Saccharomyces cerevisiae S288C: one gene and its partners. Changing the gene in region 2 together with the main gene of any one other region gives a genetic interaction. Each region holds a gene or a part of one and is shown on either strand. Other genes may lie near its edges. The genes, in order: USV1, YAL064W, PTC4 and SYH1.

Region 1 (8,741 bases), on a different chromosome or scaffold from region 2:
TTCACATTTATACTTTGAAGAGCTTTGATAGTAGGTTTCCATTTTTGTGCCCAAATTGGAACATTCCTGTACTTACTGGGCTTGGAAGACGCAGATATTTCATTCAGAACCTCCAAATCTCTCTTGATATTATTCTTTTTTGATTGTAAAGTAGCTTTCTCTTCAAAAATATTATCTACAGCTGCATTCGCTTCTTCTTCCTTCTTGACCACGCTTCCTACTGCATTTCCCGCTATCTTCTTCTCAGTTTGCTTCTGCTTTTGCAGAGGTACTTGGGTTATATAGTTGCTGGCAATGTTCCCTTCATTACCTTGTTTCGGTATTCTCTGTTCTTCATCACTCTTGCTATTCTGATGAATTGAATCATCAGAAGGCTTTTCTAACTTCGCATTGGCATCACTACCATCATTCATAGGAGGTGATCCGTTGGATAGTAAATTTCTATGTTGTTTATCATAGTCAAAGTCCATTTCTGAATCAAAATTAATTTCTCCACTTGCACCCATTTCGTCATCCGTATCGGTTTCTTCATCATCATTAGATGACTTGCGTGATTTAGGTTTTTGTGAGTGCGAGCCATGACCAGTACTCTCCTTGTAATTGTCAATCGGAGCAGCTTGGCCCGTTTCCGTTTGATTTATATCAGATTCTAAATTTTCGGCAAAAGGTCTGCTGCCATTAGCCGCCTCACTTAATTTTTGTAATTTAACCTTTTCATTTTCATCGTGATTCACCAGATCGTCTAACGATAAAGCTCTTTTTGTTTGAGGAGGGTTGTCAGTGTAACTCATAGTGGGAGGATAGAAATGCTACCAACAATTCAAGGTTTTTTAAAAAAAGAAGTGCTATTCCAGATTCAATTTATAAGGGATATTTTGGAAATATCAGTATAGTATTCCCAGCAGATCTTTCAGTGTCGAATACGCTTTTAATTATCACTCTTATTTGTGTGAACCTATATTATAGATTCATTAGAGGACTTTTCCTTTATTACCATAACTTACGACGAAACTAACTAAAATGTAGGTCTATATATCATTTGTAACGGCACGTTGGGTAATCATGACTGGTACATGTTATATGTTATCTACGCAGGTCCTGTTTCTGGCATTATGTATGGCTTGACTTTAGGAGTTCCAGTAAAACAAGGTTCAAGATTTATTATATCACCATACTTGTAGCCTCCAGGATTATTATGAAACAGAAAAATGGCATGTATTTTTGAAAGAATATGGTTATATGAGTATTTAGTGCTTAGTACATACGTCTTGCGTCTGTTTGCAGATAAAACCCTTCTCCTTTTATCTACATATACTAATTGAATAGTGAACTACATGAATAGAAGAAACCGATAATTAAAAATAAGTAGGAAATGAAACGGCTTGACATAATATAACATAACGTAACATAACATGGACACAAGATTTGTTCAAATGAGGAATATGCAAAAAAGAAATCAAAACAACGTGTTTGTCCATATCGCGATCATTCTTGAACACTTTCCAAAGGATTAAAACTTTGAGATGTATAAGGATTGAACTTCGGCCTAGAGTTGAATATAGAAGAAGCAGAATTTGGAGGTGAAGAAGACATAGAACCAGGATTAGAACTGGATTGCGTGTTCTGATGATACAATGACATTTGTTCAGCGGTCAGCCTATCCATTTTCTCGCATGCTTGTTGTTCTTCGAGAGAAAGTAAAGATCTTGGACAGAAAAATAAGTCATCTTTGAAAGATTTGCAGATGTTGTTCTTGTATATTATGGAGGAGTGGTCTATATCTGGGACAACATAATGCTGAGACGATCTGCTAAAGAGTAAAGGAGGGATAGTACTAGTGTTGGCATTCTTGTTAAGGTTTGAGTTTTCGCTGGTACCGGCCCCTACTAAAAACAAAGGCGGGCTTATTGGTTGTTGCTGTTGCGGCTGCTGTAACGATGACGCAGTGCGATTTTGTTGCTGCTGTTGCTGCTGCTGTTGCTGCTGCTGAAGACGATCATATTTGAAATTCTGGAAACTGAGCGCATCTGGAATAATACCAAAGGGGTTGCTGCTTGCGAAGTTCATAGGTTCTTGGATATTTGGAGGGGTGTTGTAGGGCATCATTTCATGTAATATAAAAAAGTGGTTATATGTGATAGTTTATCTGCTAAAATCGGAAAAAGCGTCATCTTGTCAGTGAAATGAGATAAAAAGCTTCTTTCTTTTCTTTTTCTTATTATTGCAATTAACGGGGGTCCGGGTGAGCGTAAGGGCGAGATAACCATGGCGGTATAGGTGTATATGATCAAGTTTTGAAGTCAAGATGCAGGATTGTTCGTTCCGTATTCACAATCCACCGTTAGTGTTACATCGTAGTTTTTGATGCTACTGTGGGCTGTGTAAAGCAGACGCGGGAGTTTAAAATTAAGTTTTGCGGTTATTTCTCGTTGATCAACGCAAGAGGTCAGAAAGCCCTTTATGCAAGGGATTTTTTCTTGCAATTGCATCTTATCATTTTTGTAGCACTGATTATACATAGCTTGACTCATTTGAAAAATTTTATAAACTGCATTTAGTATGGAACAAAACATAAAAATAAAAAAAGATGCGCACCATAATTTGTTTGCGCATATTAAGAATTATATTAGTTGTAAGATATTTATACTCTACGGAATATTTGAAACTTAGATCAGATTGCCTCGATCAAGTCAATATGTAATCAACACTAAGCCTTTTCTTATTGGTGTTGACCGAAATATCAGACTCTGATAAAGTTTCCGACCTCTTTTTGTTATTATTATCATTGCGATCATCAGTATTCTTGAAATTTTCTCCCCCTTTGCCGCCATTCTTCGAGGAAGACATATTATTGTTTTTATTTCCATTTGGTGGTTGGCTAAATGCCTGCTGATACTGTGGTAAAATAATTGGTTTTGCTTCAGCAACTGTCGTTGACGGAGAAAACGGCGGGGAGAATGAATCAAGATGGTTATTGATATTACTAGTATTGACATTGATATTGCTTGGTCTAATATTGTATTTGTTCATAGTTGTCCGTGCTTGAAAGTCGGCAGAATCTTTATATTTGAAGGAAGTACTTGGCATGGACCTCGGAGGAAAGGACGATATGATTACCTCAGAGGCCGGATGGCTCGTTGAGGAGGGGCTCACATTCAAAGGATACTGCACATCTACTGATGGTAAATAATTGATGGTGTTATTATTACTGGGAAGAGGATACTGGTAGTAACTATCAGTGATTGGATGGGAAGGAAAATAATAGGGAGCCTGTTGATGCTGTTGTTGTTGGTGTTGTTGCTGTCGTTGGGTATTATAAATGGACCTTGGAGAGATGGGTGGGATGCTTCTCGTGCTAGTAATGAACTCCGGCGAAGAATGTATTATTTGGGGCGCTTTTTCGTTTTCTGCCATCATCGGCATGTTCCCGCTATTAATATTAGTTTTCCTGTAAGGATCACTATATGATGTAGATGATGAAGCAGAAGACGAAGAAGATGCAGAAGAAGAGGAGGATAAAGATGAAGAGGAAGGCTTACGCTGGTGCGAGCTGGTAGAATGGTGGTTTTTATGTGCATGGACCGATTCCCGATGCTGTTTCAAATTATCAACTCTACTGAAGAATTTCAAACATGCAGGACACTGGAACGGCTTTTCACCAGTGTGCTTTCTTATATGACGTGCAAGATGTTCCGCTCTAGTGAAGGACATCGTACAACCGTCATATCCGGTGCATTTGAACGTTTTCCTTCGAGCACTTTTGGACCTCTTCGGAGTTGATGCCGCTACACTATTGGTGGCAAAGTTACCATTGCTGCTCGTAAGAACGCCTGCAGTATTACGATTCGTGGTATTTTCCATTTCGTGTTTTTTTCTTATCTTATCACAGTATTATTTATGTGTTAGTAAAAAAAGCTAAGCCAGTAAGTCGCTCCAGATTTTTTCTTTACATACATGGTTAATGAAGCTGTTGCAAAATACTGCAGCCAAGAACTCCTGTCTCTTTCAAAACAAGACGAAACTTTATCTGCCGGGATGAATAAGAATTAATCAAAATTATAGGCAATAAGAGTGGATTGAGATTGTTATATACGGAAGACTGTTGAACGGTTAAGGGGGAAGCCGTGAAGGAGCAAACAAATCTTGAAAAAGAAAACATTTTCTAAAAAAAAATAGAGGGGATAAATAAGGCCCTTAGGGGGACTCAACGGCGGAGAATTCGAAAGCCAAAGGATGCTTCCCACCGCTAAGCCAGGGCGAACGGCAGCGGCGATCGAGGATGCTGGTTCTTTAAGGGCACTCGTCCACCTTCGCGATTTTTCTCTTCCCTGAGTATTTGGCAGAGGCGATCAAGGGGTGGCTCACACAACCAGTCGCAGGAGCGTCGCGCATCGGGTATTAGACCCTATTCTGTACACCACAGCCTTCCAGCCCCTTGCCCCACGCGATTGGTGTAAACAATAGATGGCAGTAATCGTTGAGACAACATAACTACCGGCCGTCCCTGACCCTTTCCCCTCCTCACGGTAGAGACAACAACCACGGGAGGAATAAAAACCGGTGCTGGGCCAGCCGATATCGTAAAAGCCTAATTACCCCAGAGCTGCTACGCGGACTTCTATTCTTCCACGCGTCAATATGCCCCCGCGCGAATTTGTGTGGGCCGACCAAATAGAAGAATTGAACGGTGTGTACGCTCAGGGCCATATGATTATAGACGTACACAATGATTAGGCCAGATCGAAATCAGAGGCTAAAGTAAGGAAACGATAGAAAAATAACAAAGTAATTACTATTATGTCTGATAAATAGAAGCGACACGTTACATATTAAAAGAGGGACTACGTAGTGCTCTCTCTATTTCTTAGTAGAAACGGCGACCGCGACAGCTTGGAGGTCATCGTGAGAAATAGATACCTTCACATCGGTAACACCAGCTTCTTCGGCAGCCTTTTTGGCGTTACCGTGCAGTTCAACGGCTGGAGCGTTTTTGTTAACGCGTACGATTTCGATGTCTTTCAATGCAGCACCACCGCCTAAGGACTTGACGCCTAAGGACTTGAAAACAGCCTCTTTGGCGGACCATGTCCCAGCGAAAGAGCTTTGCACACTAGGCTGCGCGCTGCAGTACTCTATTTCTTGCGGGGTGAAATTGCGCTCGATAAAAGTATCATTTTCAACGTTGATGCTAGTGATTAATTCAACATCTACACCGACGCCACCGTTAGAGACTTTCTCCTTGGTCATGTTTTCAATCATCTTGGCAGTTTCAATGGTGTTAGCATTGATGTAACTGTCCTTGCTTTGGATGTTTTTAGAGTTGAAAGTCAAGGAGCCTGATTTCTTATCCTTAGATACACGGGCTAATGGGTCCAAGTAAACATCCTCTTCCAATTCATCAGTGTATGGAGCATGCTCTTTACTTACGAACAACTTGTTGTAGATCATACCATTATGGAAGAATTTGTAGGCACTTTTCTCTCTGGCACTAACCTTGGCGACATACTCGTTGTATCTGTCTTCAGTGATAGCACCGTATAAGTAGTCTGGATGAACCACAATAGCTTGACCACCCTTTTGACCAAAACCGAAAGAAGTGATGGACACGGCTCTGACACCGTCGGTCTTTAAAGTCTTGGATGGGTACAAGACGTATTCAAATTGCTCCAAGATCTTATCCACGTTATCAGCGTTACGGTTACCTGGAATAATACCACTGTTTAGAATTTGCAAAGCACCATTCATCATCCATGCACCAGCAGCACCCTTTGGATGACCAGTCAAGAACTTTTGGAAAACACCAATGACGGGATTACCTTCAGATCTACCCAAATGCTTCATCATTTCATTAATTGTGGCAGATTCGTTCTTGTCATTAGCCTTTGTGGATGTACCGTGGAATGAAGCGACACCCAAGTCATCAATAGTTAAACCGTAAGTAGCCAGTGCTCCTCTCAATGGAGCAATACGTGGGTCCCTCTTGTAGAAGTCGTTACCCCATTGTTGTTGTGCAGCTCTCAATTGACTTTCAGCTTCGTTGTGGATTTCTCTGGTACGTTCAAGTAAGAACTCGTTTTGGTCTTCGCTTGGAATTTCTTCGGCCTCCAACTTCAAAGCTTCCAATTCGTTTTCTACCCAATCTTTAATCTGAGCTTCACGAGTAACCAATTGGCGCTTTCTGTACTTCATGTTCAAGTTTGGTGAAGCATACTTAACACTGGAGTGGTGTTCACGAGCAGTGGTTAAAATACCCTTACCTGGAGCTGGCACAGATCTACCAATCTTATCGGTGGCGGTAGCAGCCATGGCAACAATACCGTAAATTGGCACACCCATCTTCAAAGCTAAATCAGCTTGCATGATGATTTGAATACCAGCACCTTGAGCTTCCATAAAACCGTTACGGGTAGTGGTGGCAGGTCTGGACATTTCCGCTGGGGTACGACCATGTTCAAATTCTTCCAAAGTGTTGGAAGTGGCCTTCATGTTACCGAACTCAAAGGAGCCTTCTTCTTGGAAATCATCGTAACCACCGACAATACAGATTCTAGCCTTACCAGACAAGATGGTTTCTACACCAATGTCAACAGATTCCACGGATGTGGCACAGGCACCAACAGGTGTCTTGATTGGACCAGATGAGGAAATCAACAACATATTAACCCAAGCGGACATGGTGTTGATAAATGATTCTTGTAAAATATCATTTTGGACAGGCTCATCCTTGAAACGGTCCTTAAACATACCACGTAAGGCAGAAACACCACCCATACCAGAACCAGAACAGTTACCAACCTCAGAAACATGTACGTATTTGTACATTTCGTATGGGTCGGTGATACCAGATGCAATAAATGCTTCCACAACAGAGACCAAAACGAATAATGTGATTGGGTCAACCTGAGAAATGATATCATCAGAGATACCATAAGTCTTAGCATTCCAACCAGTTGGAATTTGACCTGCAACCAAACGGTCAAATCTCAAAGCCTTTGGAATGTATAAAGTGGCACCCTTTAGTAACTTAACAGAGTACTCTCCTGTTTCTGGGATTTCGAAGATATCCACTTTGTCACCATGTTGGTGTTTAAATTGTTCGGCAGTTTCCTTCGAAGCCTCAAATGGTTCCAAGTCTTCTTCGACAATGACTTCTTGAATCATTTCCTTCTTTTCTGGGTTGTAACCATTGAATAACTCTGGTTCGATCAATCTGATACCACTGTGTTCTAGGATTGATGTTTCATACTTGGCCTTAACGTCCTTGTCATCAACTGGTTCTTTTGTTTTGGAATCAACCCAACCAGTGTATGGACGACCCTTCAAATTACCGTTATGGTATGAAATGAAGCCCATAATCCAGGCCATTTCAACGCAACCTTCCAACGAAAATTCACCAAAAGCTTCCATTTCCCATCTTGTTCTGGCCGAACCCCATGGGCCGACTTCAGCAAAACCGGTAACTACAATAACTCTTTCCAAATCCAACAAACCTTCAAGCTCAGCGGGAGCAATTTGTTTAACCTGTTTGTATGGTTTCAATTCTGGGAAGTCCAGTTGAATGTTAGCTCTTGGTTGAATTTCGACTTGAGCATATGCAGCATCAGCGCTATTGCCATTGACAACCTTATGCTCCAAAGCAGTTTCGATGGAAACTGCCTTTCTAACTTCAGAAGTTTCAACCAACTCTTTACGCAATTTAGCAGTGAATTCCTTCAATTCAGGAACAAATTGCAAACCACCATTCAAGTCAGCCATAACAGGTGATTTTTGGCACAATTCTACGACTTCTGGAGTCAATAGACCCAATAAGTTGAAAGCCATTTCCTTTTGAGAGAAAGTACGAACACCCATCTTTTCAATGCCTTCAGCAATGATGTTATTAGCGCTCATTAAACCAGTACCTCTAGTCCAACCAATAATAGCACCGCAAACGGTTAATTGATTGGCCCAGGATTCAGAGTGCCATCTGTTGAACAAAGTTTCCAAAGACAACTTGGATTCTGAATACATACCATCACCACCGAAAGTACCATGGTTTGGAGACATTGGTAGAATGACTTGAGCTGGTCTTGTTTCAATACCTCTTGCAGATTTTTGCTTCTTGACACAACCCATCATTCTTAAGATATTGGTCAACATGATTCTATGAGCAAATTCAGACTTAGAATCAATATGTTCTAATTCAATACCTTGTTCTGGAATGGCCGCGAATGGAATAATAGCATCTAGATCCCAACCTAAACCACCATTCTTTTCAGTGTCGTAGATAAATTCAATCAAAGCTTCAACGTCTTGCTTAGAACCTTGGTTGAATGGAACAACAATCAAAGTAGAACCCTTAGCACCATATTTGGCGTAAATGGATTGGTAGTAGTCTGTAACTTGCTTAGAGAAACGAGAGGTGGTAACAACAACCTTAGCACCACCTTGTAACAAACCTTGCAAGACTTCAGCACCAATAGAACCCTTACCAGCACCAGTGATCAAGACGTATTTGTCCTTGAAGGTGACACCGTTGAAGGCAGCCTTTTCTAAACCATCTAAGAAAAGAGAAGACAATTGGCGGTCATATTTCCAATCTCCGGCAGGAGTCTTCTTTCTCAAATGTAAGAACGGAATAGTTTCTCTTGGAATAGTTGAAGATACCGTCTTAGAAATGGTAGATTTGTTTGGCAAAGAAGCAACTTCTTTGGTGGAATCTTTGTCCAAAGCATCCTCAACATCCATACCGGCCAATTGGG
Region 2 (7,728 bases):
GGAACGCACAAGAAGCGATCGTCACCTTCCATTGGGGTTAGTAGCAGGATATATATTTCCATTCTATATTCCAGGTTCTCTTTCACAATTTTATTGAATGAAATACCTGAGCTACCAAATCAGTCTTAATAACACCATCTTTTACACCGGTACTACAACAAACCATACTGAGTCTGAAATTGGACTTCTGCAATGAAAAATTTAAGCCCTGATCTACGCATAATGCCCGCTATAAACCTTATTTTTTATATGGGGGTCTGGCGCTTCGGGAAAAGAGAGGAAAACTTGTAACTCAATATATCTCGATACAACATTACGTTTTGTAAATTTATCACAAAAGCCAAATGATGATATCTCTCTTGCAAGTTATCGAACATTGATTGGTAATTTGTTTGAAAATTGTTAATTTATTGAATATTTCTTTTGCAAAAGAAATAGTCTCAGCGAAAGCTGGTTACAAAATTTACATCATGAGTTTACGGGATTTGTAAATACGCTTTTTGCATAAAAATACTTTGCCGTTTCCCACCCTTGCATATTCACTTACTCCCCCCTTCATATACTCTATGTAATGATGATTAAGCTTTGGCCGCTAAGTCTCTCAATTAGTGTTGATTTTGGTTTTATTCATATGATTCTTCTTTAGTGAAGTATTGATCAATTACGTGAGTCAGCTTTTTGAAAACCCCATTTGGAAGGAATTAGGAAATTATTTTGCTTACTACGACCACTAATTTACCGCCATTTCTGGGCCTTTTTATTGACTATTTTGACCATGTGCTCGACTAGAAGAACGGCATCATAATCTGCTGGTAGAGTTAGTCTATAATGATTGTTGAAAATAAAGGCATAAGAGATATTCCACCTAAAATTCAAGTTATTGACTTTATTATCAGGATCTTAGTATCCTTTTTTGGTAAGTCATATTCAATGAACTAGGTCTCGCAAACTTTTTGTTCGAAAAGCGGTAGTGCATAGTTATGCTAACTCTGGATATATGGCATAAACCGTACAACACTAGCCCATTTTTTTGGAAGTAGTGAGGGCAGCTAGACTGTATGATGAATATTCGCCTGCATACTGAGTTTTTTGGTCCTTTTTTTTATGTGGCTGGCCTTACGATATGATGCACAATTCATAATTTGGAAGAAGGGCAGAACAATTGCATCTGTGCTTGGCTCTCAAGAACGGTGTTTGGTGCATCAAAAGTTTTCGACTGCTTATTTGGTCGGAAATATAAAAACTCGATCCTCTTATCTAAGCAGTATACATTCTTCTTTTTGAAATGAATGTACTCCGTAATATCTTCTTATTTGGCATTTTCATCCTTAACTTTTGCATGGCTCTGAACTAGTCAGATAGTTGCCCTTTTCAGCAAACCTCTTATTATTGAAAGCATGGTGTACATCCGTTATACTATTATATTATAAGAAATTGGGATGCCAATTTTTTTGCTTTTGTTTTGCCTGTTTTCCTTCTTTTCGCAAAAGTAATTGCAGATTTAATAGCAGGATATTATACCGTTGGTAAAACTTAAGGATTTTATGAACAATAGCTTCAAGTACAGCATTCATAGAACCAACTACTAAGGATGAAACTAGTATGTTTTTGTCAAAATATTTTCTTGACCTTGCTGTAACATCAAGATCTGTTTCTCTAAGATATTAAAGTTGAGTAAAAACAAAGCTGATATGAGAAAAATACGTAATTGCTCCACATAATACGTGGGTCAGACATAAAGGTAGAATACTTGATACAGAAGAGATTATTCGGTACTCTTGATGGCGTGCTTGAACTGGTGCCTCTTAACAACCGGTAATATAGTCAGATGAGTCACTACGAGTGTGTGTAGTAGCAAGTGTTTTACCTACGTGGCAGTAAGAGTAGCTCTATGGTTGTGTAATAGTGGTGCTTATTCCTAATGCTCTGAAGTCTGAAGCGGTACAGTTGGTCTGGTCTATATCATGGTCAAAGGAGCAAACATATCTTCTGAAGTGACCGCAAATAGTACTATGATGTGGTTGGCAATATAACTTAAAAGGAAATAACCACAAGGAATTGCACCCATGTACACAGTTTTTCCCGGAAATTGGGAAACCAGTACGAACATATATCAATTACTTTTACATTATCTTGATTGGAAAACTGGCACAATTGACTGTGACGTTAGTAGTATGTTGTTCTTCTCTACATCAGTTAAATATACGTGTCAACATCAACTAATCAACTTTCCCCCGTTTACCACATTGAAGCTGGGTGTGGAAGATTTATTTGAAGAAACTAAAACGTACCCTGTCATTTCCTGAGTCCCCTTTCAACTTAGTGTGAAAGCCGAACAATTATAATCCTCGGTAGACAACAGATTTATTGTACTAAAGTTACTCTTCCTGTTATCTTCCTTGATTTTACTGTTATAGCAATGACCCACCGCAATCAGGAGAGCCGCCGTATGGAATAGCATACCAAGTCATAAAATCGTCAACCTATTAACGGGGTTCAGGTTCTTTTTCAGCGTAGTAGCCCTTTAACAAGCGCTGACAAAGTTGACACTCAGAGAAAATTCAGGATTTATTGTAATCCAGCTACTCATCCTTAGATCCGCTTGCAGGCATGGTTTTTTTCACCTTGAGAGGCTATTTTGGGTAAGCCAGGAAGGCTGAAAAATCCCAAAAGGACACAGTAATAAGAAATTGTTGTTGTTGTATGATGCATTTAGAACTCAAAAGACGAGTTTCTGAAAATGCTTACAATACTCCATAGGTAACATGATTTTTTTATTAAAAAAGTATACTGTTCCTTTGGGTAAAAATTATGCAACCCTTGAGTGTCCGATGAAGATAAGACTACGAAACAATTTGCGGTAAATTTTTTCTGCTATTGACATTTACACATGCTCCAATCCATTACCCTTTCCATTCTCGTAATAAAACCTCGAACTGTTATTTCATATTTACATCTAGACGGGTATCGGCCTCAACAACTCCAAACAAAAGTAAATAGAAAAGAGCCAGACCTATCGCACCGGGTAGAGCCAGAAAATATTTTAAACTATAGTTGACGTATTCTACGGCTGTTGTTTAGGACAATACTTTTTCCTTCACAGGCTTCGAATTACGCACATGCAGAACTCCTGTAGAAACCACGAAGAAAAGTTTAATTAACTTTCAAATGCCAGAACTAAAGATTGATGAAACAGTTATACGAATTTAAGGGGAACTTGCTTTTTCCTTTTGCTTCATCATAAGCGCAATATTCGCAGCGGTGGCGTCGCGTCTTACCATTTATCGGCACATTTTTCCGAAAAGGAAGGAAAATGGCGGTGTCAAACGGTCTGGTGTGACATCTAGAAGTTCGGCATTGCAAGTTAATCTACGGGAAAAAGAAAATTTTCTTATAACCCTAATGTATAATAAGGTTTTCGGAGAAAGCAACTCACGGGGAACAATTGGTTAGAAGAGACCGTAGAAGCGCCCCACTAACCTGGAGTTGATTATCGAGGATCTTTCTCAGAAAAGCAGCTAATAAATGAGCACAGTACTCAAAAATTACTCATAGTATTATAATTACTTACTTAGTCAATATGGCTGCGCTTTTAAAATGAGTATCTTTTATTTTTTGACAAGGAAGAAAAAGATGCAAGCAAAGAGAAATTTACTAAGTACAAGCTCATTTCCAAAAATTCAGTTTGCCTGTAACAATGGGTAGCGATCTTCAACATATGGGATTATGCCTTGAATGAGATTTTTGAACGTAGAGGAAAAAATCGCAGACAGGCTTTATTGTGCTGTTTGACATAGTATACTCAGCCGTTGTGGTGTTAATGAATACTATCGATGTGTATACAAACGTACTTCAAATAAGCAATGCGAATATACTGCAACTTTTCGGCCTTTGCAACGATTTGTAATGAATCCTTTTGCATCGCTAGAAGGACAAGATAATATTTCTTCTGTTTTTTTTTTACATATGCAACAATTTGAAAGTCAGGTCAAAGACAGATTCCGGTTCCCCATATTCAGATTGGAGAGAAAAACTTTTGGCAACTCATGTTACCAAGTCGAGACGCTTAAAGTTAAGTGTCGGCCAAGACACGCAAAATCTTGTAATCTTTTAACGCTGCTCTTCAAATCACGGACGCAATCAGTACTTGTACCTAATTTTGGTTTTCTAATATTGAATAGCGAACCATAGGTCGAAAATTTAAGGCCACATAAATCCAGAGCCCGCAACTTGGATAGGTATTTACTTGATTTTTAGTTTGCTTTCAATAGTGTCGTGAAATTATAAAGTACGCCGCATATATATCTTGATTAGTTAAAAATAGCAGTGTTCAATGATGATTTGATAGGGTTCATAACTGGTACCAGCGTAGTACAATTACGATTATCCATGAACATAAAAGTGGTTTAAGTACTATATATCAGTGAAGCTTCAAAGTAAGCAAACGAGATACCAAGATCTTGTAGGACCACGATATATAAGAAGCCTAGTTCCGTTGTAGCATCACATAGAAGAGAGCGACAATGCCTCAGAAATTCTACAGCAACAGAAAGCACAGTGAGTCATTAACTGTTGGAATAAGACTCAACTGCGAGCTATCGACTAGTACTTATATTACTAGTATATTATATACGGTGTGAAAAGACGACATGAAGATTGAGGAAATGGTCCCAAGATCTAATGGACACTGAAATGCAAAAGTTGATAATGTAACATGAAAATTAAGGACAGCATATTAAACAGAAGAGGAAATAATGGTATTTTTACATAGAGATATGAATTTCCCTTTTTCTTTGTTCCTATATCTCTGATAATAAGTTATAATATACTTTGTGCATCTTATATCATGCCTTTTCAACAATGAAATATCAGCAGTTATCAAAGCATTCGCCAAATTTTTATTAATAAAACAAATGTCAGAAATATGGCCGGAATCTAATCTGAAAGTTAAAATAATTCTTACGATATTCTTATCATAAAACCAATGATTAATGTTTATGATGAGCAAAACTGTGCGAGGGCACATACATACAGTGGGACCTCATGAGATCCAGAAAAAAAGCAAAGGAAAGTTCGATCGAAACATTAGCTCTTAGATATTACAGACGTGAGGTATCTCTTCCTTGAAGAGAATCTGGCCCTGATCAAAAACTTTATTTTGATACTGTTCGAAAAGAGAAATAAGGACAACGTTCTAATTTATACAAATATAACCAGTAGGCTTTATCGTAAAATCCTCGAACTTGCTTCTCATCACAGAAGTATAAAAAGTAAAGAGGTCAAGCAAGAAACGAATAACCACCAAATTTTTTTCAATTGAAAAGCGAAACGTAATGGAAATTCACCTGCTTTGAATCGTTGTTGAATTCTTATCATCAGTCATTATTTTCCTCTTTTAAAGCTTAAGTCAACCGCATCTAAGTTTAACACTTCGTTCCCGTTTTGAAGTTTATCAAAATTCCAAAATACAGTAGTTAGGTGCTCGTGACAAACCTTTTTCCAAAGTGTCATTAGACTTCATGGAACTACTACACTTCTGGGGAACGAAAAGCTACCATTTGCTCATCATTGGATAATTTCTTTTTTTTTTTTTGATGCATCCAAACTTGGACCCCTTTTGAATGTCGAGTATGAAGTATCAATTTTAGGGCAAGTAGTTTTACAATAATTTTGGTGCACTTTTACGTCTCTGCTGATATTTTTAATACTAGTGCAAAAGAATTCGAAATAAATATAAAAGAACAAGGAGGATTAACATACTTTAAATAACTAATTATCACCATTATTTCAAGTTTCAAGTACTGCGTATGGCATGCACAGCAGATTTCTACTCAAAAACATCCTAAGCGAACCACACTAGATCTTACGTTAGTACTGCTGAAAATGGCAATAATTGTTAAAGCAAAAATTGGCGATGGTTCATTAATTGCTAAACAAAATAGGGCATTTTTCCTCGTTAATGATAAGTACTCATACTTCTGTTTCTATAAGTGTTAGTTGTAACTTATGAAATATCGATTTAAATTCGAAGTGTTGTTTGCAGGATATAAATCAAAAAAAAAAAAAAAAAAAAAAAATTAAATAAATAAATAAAATAAATACAATGATATCGATAACGGTGAAATTCTTTTCATGGATTTTTGTTGCCCAAGAAAATAACAATAACGTTTTCTTTATGATACATATATCTACTTTTTCAAAAAAGGAAGCGCAAGAATTATCATTTAGTTCAATTTGAATATTTGAAAGTTTGGAGGAGAAACAGTTAAAAAATAATTCATGTCAGCGTATATTTAGCAAAGAAAAGATACACAGATACGTAAAAAGAACGCGAATTTTATTAAATAATTGCCAGCAATAAGGACGCAATGAAGACACTTAAACCACTACCGGCCAGTAAGCTGTTGGCACTGCCAGCATACGTTGAAATTTCTAAAGAAGCTGTACTAGATCCTACCATGCTACTTGCTGGTGTGCTACGAGGCTGTTGCGACATAGTACTCAACCCGGAACTTGTTAGACTCTTGGTGTTGCCAGTTTCGGATACAGAAACAACACTACTGCTGTGACCAATCACATCGGTCGCGGAAGCCGTCTGTGTTTCAGCATGATTGAATCTTGAAATTGAAGAGGTGACTACTGTTTTCGTCTCAGCAGCTCCAGTACTGGTAGTTGTCTCAGCAGCTCCAGTATTGGTTGTTGTCTCACTGGTAGCACTGTTCATTTTAGAGCTGACAGACTGTTCATTCGTAGTCTGTGGCCTCCATGTAGAATAGACCGTAACAACATCATTCACAGTAGCCGTGGCCGTCGAAACAATGGCAGGTGAAGTAGTTTCGGAACACACACCAGATCCGCAGGAAGTAACAGTAACTAGCGTAGTTTGTTGCTTCGATTCTGTGGTGGAAATAGGACACCATGTTGTGTATTCTGTGGTAACGCCATTAATAGTAGCAGTGCTTGTAGATACAATGGCTGGAGAAGCAGTCTTAGAGCATACGTCAGATTCACAAGAAGAAATTGTAACTACTGTGGTTTGTTTTGTTGTTTCTGTGGTTTGCTCTGTTGTCCCCTTGGTTTGCTTTGTTGTCTCCGTAGTTTGCTTTGTTATCTCTGTGGTAGAAATAGGGCACCATGTGGTATACTCTGTTGTGGCACCGCTAACAGTAACGGTGGCCGTGGAAACAATCGCAGAGGAGATAGATTCAGTGCACACATGAGATTCGCAGGATGTCACGGTAACCAAAGTGGTTTGTTCGCTCGTTTTTGTAGTGGTAACAGGTGGTAATGAAGAAGTAATTTCCTGACTTGTTGTTGCACTGGTAACAGGTGGTAATGATGAAGACGAATATGTAGACTTTGGTGATTCAGAAGAGATAGAAGAGGAAGAAGAGGCAGAACTAGCTGAACCCGTTTCGCTCTCAGAAGAACCAGAGGTGGAACTACTGGTTGGAATGACGGATGATTTAGATGATTCAGAGAGTATAGAAGCGGAGGTTGTTGTAGAAGAAATGACAGGGGAAGAAATGAATGAAGAAGAAATGACTGGAGAAGAAGTGACTAGAGAAGAAGTGACTGAGGAAGAAATGACTAGAGAAGAAGTGTCTGAGGAAGAAATTACTGAGGAGGAAATCACAGAAGTTCCATTGCTAGGATAGAATGGGGTAATAATTGGACGCGCAGACGTGATAAAGCTGGTGATTTGTCCTGAAGAAGATGACAAACTGG
Region 3 (3,561 bases), on a different chromosome or scaffold from region 2:
ATTTGGAAGATATTTTCGCTCTTGAAAGCTATAGAGATTAATTATGTTTTTCCCTTGGTATACCTTTTCTGTGTTGTCTTTCAGTTCCTGTCTTTAGGATGTTATTTATCGATCTTTTTCAGAAAGACCAAAAGCGAAGAAGCGAAGAAGAGGACTTCTCTGTACTAAGACCAAATTATGTAAAAGGAAAACTAAACATGAATATGTGAATTTATTTCCAAAACACAGCAGAGCTTAAAGATGGGGTAAACTCATATTCATATTCATATACACGTATGTATATAAAAATTCATTTAAAAGGATTGCTTTGGTTTTCTACAACACTAAAAAGCACAATAAAATAATAAAGTAAAAAAAAAAATGTGATAATGAGGTCGTTTTAAGGTACTTTTGTTATTTCATCTCCCAAGCAGTTGATCCTATACACTAATACACAGACACATTAACCACACGTTCAGATATGTATGAGAAAAAGGAAGAAGAAAAATAATTTTTTTTCCTTACACTAGGCCCCTTTCTCTTTCCAAACGGGTCTTCATTTTATTAAACCAGTCTTGCAATGTTTCGCCTTTCCGGTTTAGCACTACAATGATGGCAGTCATATTGTCAAAGCCGACACCAGTATTGCTATTTGCCTGCGCTATCCCGTGGTCCAACAATTTTGTTATTATTGTATCCAACTTCGTCCCTGATACCAGGTGATACTTTATAAAGTGAATTAACTGTTTGTTGTTATAAATATCCCATATACCGTCGCAAGCCAGTACTAAAAACTCATCTTTAGAATAGTCAATCTTGTGCATCAATACGTCTGGTTCAACGGTAACTTGTGCTTCTTGTGGTGGGGTTCCATAAGTTAAATTCTGGGTAATATTTGTTAGTTTTGTCCTTCTATGTGGATAAGTGACACCTCTCTTGAATTGGAAATCACTAAATGCCCTACTGAGAGCCAGTACTCCACCCACTCTTCCAAGAGAGACAGTACCACCATTATCGTTTATACGTATCAATTCTCCTATGTGTTGTGGCTTATGATCGAAAGACATCGTCTTTATGCCATTCGATTTGGAGGAAAGAATACATCGCGAATCACCACAGTTAGCCACATACAGTGATTCCTCGTTTATGATGCATGCTACTACTGCTGTAGATCCACACGAACTGTTGGCAAAATGTCGATATAACTCTTCATCTTGCAATATGAAAGCGTCTTTAAAAATTTGAGAAACAAGTCCTTCCAACGTATTGAAGGATCTTTTAAATTTTGATGAGTCGTTATTAGTTGTAGATGTGTAATGGTGGTTTTCGAAACTATACGCAATCCATTTGATCAGGCCAGCGTTGGGTTCACCATTACCGTTGCTACTGCCGTTACCATCGCGATGGTGGCGGCCGCCGCTTAGAAATTTCGAACAATCATCTCCACCATGACCATCGAATACTGCGAAGACGTTCAATGACAGGGTTTCGTATTTGTCTATGAATGGGTTGAAAAATCGTACGTACACAACAGAGTTTTCATTTCTAATTAGATGTGCATCTTCCTGAGTCAAACGATAGCCTTGCATGGACCCCACACAATTGTAAAATCGTGGAACAATACCAGTTGACGCCTGGTTGTTTTTATATTCATTATATTCTATGGTCTTCTCCGTCAACGGATGGGAAAGCAATTGACCCATTTTTGTCTTCTTCAAATTGAAGTTACTTTCTAAAATGGCTATATAGGGGAGAATAGAGGCAAAAAGGGCGATGGGATAGAAAAGAAGACGTAAGGGCTCCGTGCTAAGAAAGAAGAAAAAGATGCAGTTGAAAACAACGTAAAACTAGAGATCCAATGTCAATTGTTTATGTAGCCAATATCTTCGTTATGCGGTGTGAACAGCGACAATAAAAAAAAATGTGGGATAAATTATGGCTTTTTTTTCTTGATTTCCTTTTTCTTTTTATTCATGATGTTTCGAAGAAGAGATCAGCGCGGGAGAGAAAGAAAGAGAGAGAAAAAGAGGGCCTATACGGTGAAAAAACTACTTGCGCAGCTTCAGTAACAGCGCTACAGACAGGCGTTAACGAATAGGAGAGGACGTGTGGCGTTTCAGTTATGTCATTTATATAATTTTATATAAAGTATAAAAAAAGTGAATAGAAGAGAGGGCAGAGAAAACCGGACCAGGAATAGACGATCGTCTCATTTGCATCGGGTTCATCAGTTTTTGGTGGCAGAGGAGCTTGTTGAGCTTGATGATGTACTGTATAATTCATGGACGAAATTTTCACCCCAGAAGGCAGAAGTGTATTTAGAGATGTATTTGTAAAGTTTTTCCCAGTTAACTTCTTTCTTTACATCGGGCAAAGTCAAGGCCTCGTTGATGGCATCAGAAAGATCATCGGTGTTCCAAGGATTTACAATAATAGCACCATTCAAGGATTGTGCGGCACCTGTGAACTCACTCAGGATTAAGGAACCTTTCTTTTCTTCTTGGCAAGCAATATATTCGTAGGAAACCAAGTTCATACCATCACGGGTGGACGAGACCAAACAAACATCGCTCACAGCATATAACGAAATCAGCTCTTCAAATGGTATAGACTTGTGCATGAAATGGATGGGGACGAATTCCACAGTACCGAACTGACCGTTGATTCTACCGACCAACTCATTGACCACAGATCTTAAATATTGGTACTCTTCCACATCTCCACGACTTGGCACTGCAACCTGTACCAGAACAACCTTGCCCCTCCATTCTGGATGCTCGTTCAGAAACACTTCCATGGCGTGCAACTTCTGAGGCACACCTTTGATGTAATCCAGCCTGTCGACACCAACTATGATCTTGCAGCCCTTGAAAGTTTCCTTCAATTGTTGGATTCTCTTTTGTACGGATTCCTTTTTCAACCCATCGGTGAACTTGTCCACGTCGATACCGATAGGGAAGGCCCCTACGTTAACGAATCTGCCCTGGTATTCCACCCCATTAGGCAATGTGTTCACGTTAAGCACTCTTTGCACGGAAGACAAGAAATGTCTTGCATAATCGTATGTGTGGAACCCGACTAAATCACAACTCAAAACACCCTTCAAAATCTCTTGTCTGACAGGTAAGATTCTGTAAATTTCACTCGAAGGGAATGGTGTGTGCAGGAACCACCCGACCTTAACGTTTTGCAGTTGCTTCTCGTGAATCTTGACTCTCAACATTTCCGGAACCAACATCAAATGGTAATCATGCACCCAGATTAAATCGTTATGGTTCATAGTCTTAGCAATCTCGTTGGTGAACGTCTGGTTTGCCTCGTTGTATGCCAACCACGCATTCTCGTCGAAATTGATCTCACCAGGATGGTAATGGAATAACGGCCATAGAATAGAATTACTGAACCCGTTGTAGTGTAAGTCTGCGATTTCATCGCTCAGGAAGATGGGTACGGCATTAAACTTTTCCAGCAAGTCCTTCCTCACCTGATCCTTCTCATCGTCAGGAATCTCTAGCCCAGGCCATCCGAACCACTTGAAAGTGTACGTCTTCTTCAACCCTTCCAACGCCGTGACCAGCCCTC
Region 4 (4,694 bases), on a different chromosome or scaffold from region 2:
ATAAGAATCAGAACTAACTGAGTTATAAGAAGAAAAATCAAGACAGAGGGAGTTTAAAATGGACAGTAACTTTTATCACTAAGGTTATATTGACAAGTAGTGCTCTTTGGAAAAGGAATCTTCTAGAATCATCTTCGTTAAATTTCTTTTTTCATTGCCTTCGAAAAAAAAAAAGAAAAAAAGAAAAGAAATACACGTAACAAATGATTATGCGCTCAACCAACTTAAACACTTCTCATCTCCATTAAGAACCTTCAAACAGACGATAGATTCGCTAAATGATACGTTCTGCAATTTGAAAAATGTGCTTACCTTTCTCAATTCATGTGGCTTCAAACATTTAATCGATATACTAGCTATAGGTAGTTTGCACACGCTAACATATTATTGTAGCGTTCTTAGTACTGTTATTAGTTATCAAGATATTTAATTTCAATTAATTATACAAATAGATGGGAGTTATACTAGTTAATACATTGAATAGAAGATATACACGCGTAGTAAACAACTACTATGGAACAAAAAGGCTTCAAAATCTTTTTCCTTTCTTTTTACCAACAACTTGAAATTCCCAGTCTTCGGAACTGCCTTCAGGCATAGCTAATACTTCACTCCAGCTCAAGGGGTCATTAATTTCTTCTTCGCATTCTAGACGTTTTTTGATGAAATCAGTGGCAAATCTCCTACCGTCCATTGTTGAACTGTAGGAATATATGGTATCTGCGATAATTTCCTTGGATTCTGAACCTGGGGGCAAGCTAAGTAGCATTTCTAAAACATTATCGGGCTGAACACCCGTATTTAGTTTTAATTGGGATCGGCACCATCTCAAAAATTCTTGACGCTTAGAGACAGAAGCGTTACCGGGATAGGCAGGGATGCGAGACGGTTTAACTTGACGGGCCTTTAAAGTCGGGATACTAGTGGATGAGCCAATTTGTTTACTCTTATCGCTCATTTTAGTTTTTGTTGCGGTAGATAACCCCCCAGAAGAACGCAGTGTGTCCAAACTGATATATGACTTTGACTGGTTACCAGCGACAGGCATGGTGGAAGCGATGTGGGTTGTGCTCTTAGAAGAAACCGTGGTCCACGCATTGCTAGTATTCGAAGAGTTCAATGCCGAAGAAGATGGGGAAGGCGTTCTTGAAATGAAATCATCGAGTGAAGAAGCGCGGTTGAATTTCTTTGTTTTCTTTTGAACTTGTTCCCACAGCTTTTTCTGCTCTTCAATAAAAGTGGAATCTGGTTTAATATCACCATTGTTGGCCTTGTTAATTTTAGACTGACTGTTAATTTTGGTACTGTCTTTCATCAATTCTCCTTTAATATCAACTTTGATCGGTTGCTGTGGCTTTATACCCCAGGCAGAACCAGTTTGAGTTTTCGGAATTTGCGCCGAGCTTAATATTTCTTTCTGTAGTTTTAATGCCTGCTCACGATCTAACTGAGTACGATTAGGTTTTTTTTCTTTCTTGGACGAGTTCTCCTTCTTCAAATCTTCAAGAGCAGATGAAATCTGATTATAAACAGCACCCTCGGGTTTCTTGTTAGCCCAAGGCGCCAAATTAGTGGTTATGGAAGTTGCGGTGTTTTCGGAAGATGGAGTTTCTGTATCTCCAGTTAAAATGTTATTTAGCAATTCTTTTTGCTTTTCTTTCTCTAATTTTCCTTCTTCCTTCTTCTTCTTTTTTAACTTCTCTTCTTCCTTTTTCTGCTTTTGCTTCAATTTTTTCTCCTTCTTTAATTTGCGCTGTTCTTCTCTTCTCTTTTTTTCTTCTTCTTGTCTTTGTTGTTCTTCCAATAATTTTTGTGCCATCAGTTCTGCCTTTGCAAACCTTTTCTGCTCTTCAGAAGTCATTTGCGGCGTATCTTTGCTTTTCGGCTCATCAGCAGTGGATATTACATCCTTACGGTCTACCTCTTCAATCTCTGGTTGAACTTGATCCAATATATTTTGCTCTTTCTCGCTTCCTCGAGATTCTTCCTCCTGCTTAGTAGGATTTTTGACAATAGATTCCTCTTCATTTGTTATGTTAGAAACAGTTCTGCCCTCTTCTGAAAAAACCTCTTGCTCCTCTGGAGAAGCTTCCTCGTGGGAAGGAACCTTCTCTTCATGGGAAGAAGTGGTTTTATTAGATCTACTAGAAGTCGTGGATAGAGGAGCGGTATATGCAGATATCTTTGGTATGCGATCTACCTTTGTGATATGACGGCCGTCAACCGGAACCCAAACCTGAGTTTCATGATAGTAACTTCCATCTTCAAATTTAAGGCCAAGGATTTCTTCATACGTAAAATCATCACTATGCACATCAGCAACAGGTATCAAATCTCTTGACTCAACTTTTTGCTTTTCTGATGAAGTTGGTGCAACAAGTGGAACAGCATTCAAAGCTCTAATAACAATGAAATCAAAGGCGACAAAAGGGTCTTGATAATTATTCACCAGAGTAGTCAATTCACCTAGTCTAATAAACCGATCATTTACACCAAATGGCTCAGGAGATGTTGCTAATCTACAGATTTGCAAAGTTGGAGTAAAATAACCTCCTTGATACCACTGTGACATATTATTGGTACCAAAAGGCCCCTGAATGTTACCATTAGAGTCAATGTATTTCCACTGAGATTCTATCCCCGGTGGTGGGGGTTGATTACCAACGTTGGGGGCAGGCCCTGTTGCGTTGTAGAGATAAGGAGCTACATTTGGAAATGTGCTCGAGGGTTTATTGAGAACGGAAGGGCTGCTGGCGTTCATATGCAGGTTGGATGATGCTGCACTAAATGCACTATTGTTTTCCTGATTAGCAGATATTTGTAGCGGAGATCCAGTAATTTCAGCGTCATATGCATTGAAGGGAACAGTACTGGCTCCACTAATCGCATTACTCCCTGGCACAAAAGGAGATGGAACTCTTTGGACGCCAATAGAATCCATAATGGAGGAGGGCCTTTGCAAAAGAGCCGCATTGTTCATGGTTGGAGTATTGCTATTTGATAATGCAGCAGTGTCTGAGTTCGCGTCTGCAAGTTTAACACTGTGAAGGTCAAACGCTAGAGAGTTGATAGGATTCATCACTTACTGCCACTGCCAATCTTGTGCAAGCTGTGGCAAAATCGACCTTCTCCATGCGTCCATGGTAAATGAAATGTTTTGCTTTCTTTTTCGTGCTTGCAAAGTTTGGTAGATGAAATTTCAGAAAGCTACTGCCGTACCAAAGTACAATAATAAGGTGAAAATGGGAGTAGGAAGTAATAGATGGCATTGAATGCCTCATTTATTCATTATTCATGTTTTCTTAACATTTTGATTCAGTTGAGTGCATGCTTTTTTGAAAAGACTAAACATTACAAGTTTTAATCATGTTGGCCCGTTCCAGGGTGTGCTTGCAGACAATCACTAGACGGTTGGCAGACTTTCCAGAAGCCAATGCTATTAAGAAAAAATTTCTCTTTAGGAAGGACACCTCGACCATCAAACAGTTAAAAGGACTGTCTAGCGGCCAGAAAATAGTACTCAATGGATGGATAGAGCAGAAGCCAAAAAGAGTTGGGAAAAATTTGATCTTCGGACTTTTAAGGGACTCTAACGGTGACATTATCCAGTTGGTTGATAACAAATCGTTGTTGAAAGGCTTTACTTTAGAGGATGTGGTTCAAGCCGTAGGTATACTCTCTTTGAAGAGGAAGCTATCAAATGAGGACGCAGATGAGTACGAAGTGCAATTGGAGGATATTACTGTGTTAAATGCATCTAATAAAAAACCAGCGCAAATGCAGGATTTTAAATTGTCAGCCATATACCCACCTGAGTTCCGCTATTTGCAATTGAGAAATCCCAAATATCAAGATTTTTTAAAGAAGAGGTCATCTATCTCTAAGGAAATAAGAAACTCCTTCAACAATTTTGATTTTACGGAGGTCGAGACCCCAATGTTATTTAAAGCTACCCCAGAAGGCGCAAGAGAGTTTCTGGTTCCAACAAGGACAAAGAGATCCGATGGTAAACCATCGTTTTATGCTCTAGATCAGAGCCCTCAACAATACAAGCAACTCTTAATGGCTAGTGGTGTCAACAAATATTATCAAATGGCAAGGTGCTTTAGAGATGAAGATTTAAGAGCAGACAGGCAGCCTGAGTTTACACAGGTTGATATGGAAATGGCCTTTGCTAATTCTGAAGATGTCATGAAAATCATAGAAAAGACAGTTTCTGGGGTATGGAGTAAATTTTCCAAAAAACGAGGATTATTGACTTTAGACAGTAAGGGTACATTAGTGCCTGCGAAAAAGGAAAACGGCACAGTATCTATCTTTCGTATGACCTACGAACAAGCCATGACCTCATATGGTATTGACAAGCCAGATTTGAGAGCGCCAGATTTGAAGATTATCAATTTAGGCGAGTTCAATGCCTTTAGTCATTTGAACAAAAAATTTCCCGTTTTTGAAGTAATTATTCTAAGAAGTGCCTTTTCAAATATGGAAGAGTACAAAGAACGATGGTCGTTTCTGACAAATAACAGTAATTACAATTATAGAGTTCCAATAGTGCTACCAATTGAAAATGACGAACAAGCTAATTCAAATTGGTTTGAGAATTTTCATGCAATTGCCACGTTTGAAAACCCACATCTAATAACCAAATTTCTGAAACTGAAAAAAGGTGACATTGTATGCGGTTGTACGAG

The links.
Region 1: mutations in YAL064W (region 2) and USV1 together harm fitness more than expected from each alone (negative genetic interaction), as found in Saccharomyces cerevisiae (one large-scale study listed by BioGRID).
Region 3: mutations in YAL064W (region 2) and PTC4 together harm fitness more than expected from each alone (negative genetic interaction), as found in Saccharomyces cerevisiae (one large-scale study listed by BioGRID).
Region 4: mutations in YAL064W (region 2) and SYH1 together harm fitness more than expected from each alone (negative genetic interaction), as found in Saccharomyces cerevisiae (one large-scale study listed by BioGRID).

The regions. Positions count from the first base shown.
Region 1 is NC_001148.4:110,432-119,172, reverse strand, and holds USV1 (Usv1p), read right to left. Parts: upstream 3,862-8,741; coding exon 2,686-3,861; downstream 1-2,685. Other genes in the region: CET1 (polynucleotide 5'-phosphatase), read right to left, coding at 1-791; YPL229W (uncharacterized protein), read right to left, coding at 1,486-2,106; trifunctional fatty acid synthase subunit FAS2, read right to left, coding at 4,858-8,741. UniProt on the Saccharomyces cerevisiae protein: Transcription factor that participates in the transcriptional activation of glucose-repressed genes during exponential growth in non-fermentable carbon conditions. Also involved in salt-stress response.
Region 2 is NC_001133.9:17,660-25,387, forward strand, and holds YAL064W (uncharacterized protein), read left to right. Parts: upstream 1-3,906; coding exon 3,907-4,191; downstream 4,192-7,728. Other genes in the region: YAL063C-A (uncharacterized protein), read right to left, coding at 4,736-5,026; flocculin FLO9, read right to left, coding at 6,341-7,728.
Region 3 is NC_001134.8:486,699-490,259, forward strand, and holds PTC4 (type 2C protein phosphatase PTC4), read right to left. Parts: upstream 1,683-3,561; coding exon 501-1,682; downstream 1-500. Other genes in the region: alpha,alpha-trehalose-phosphate synthase (UDP-forming) TPS1, read right to left, coding at 2,207-3,561.
Region 4 is NC_001148.4:352,334-357,027, forward strand, and holds SYH1 (Syh1p), read right to left. Parts: upstream 3,080-4,694; coding exon 530-3,079; downstream 1-529. Other genes in the region: aspartate--tRNA ligase MSD1, read left to right, coding at 3,367-4,694.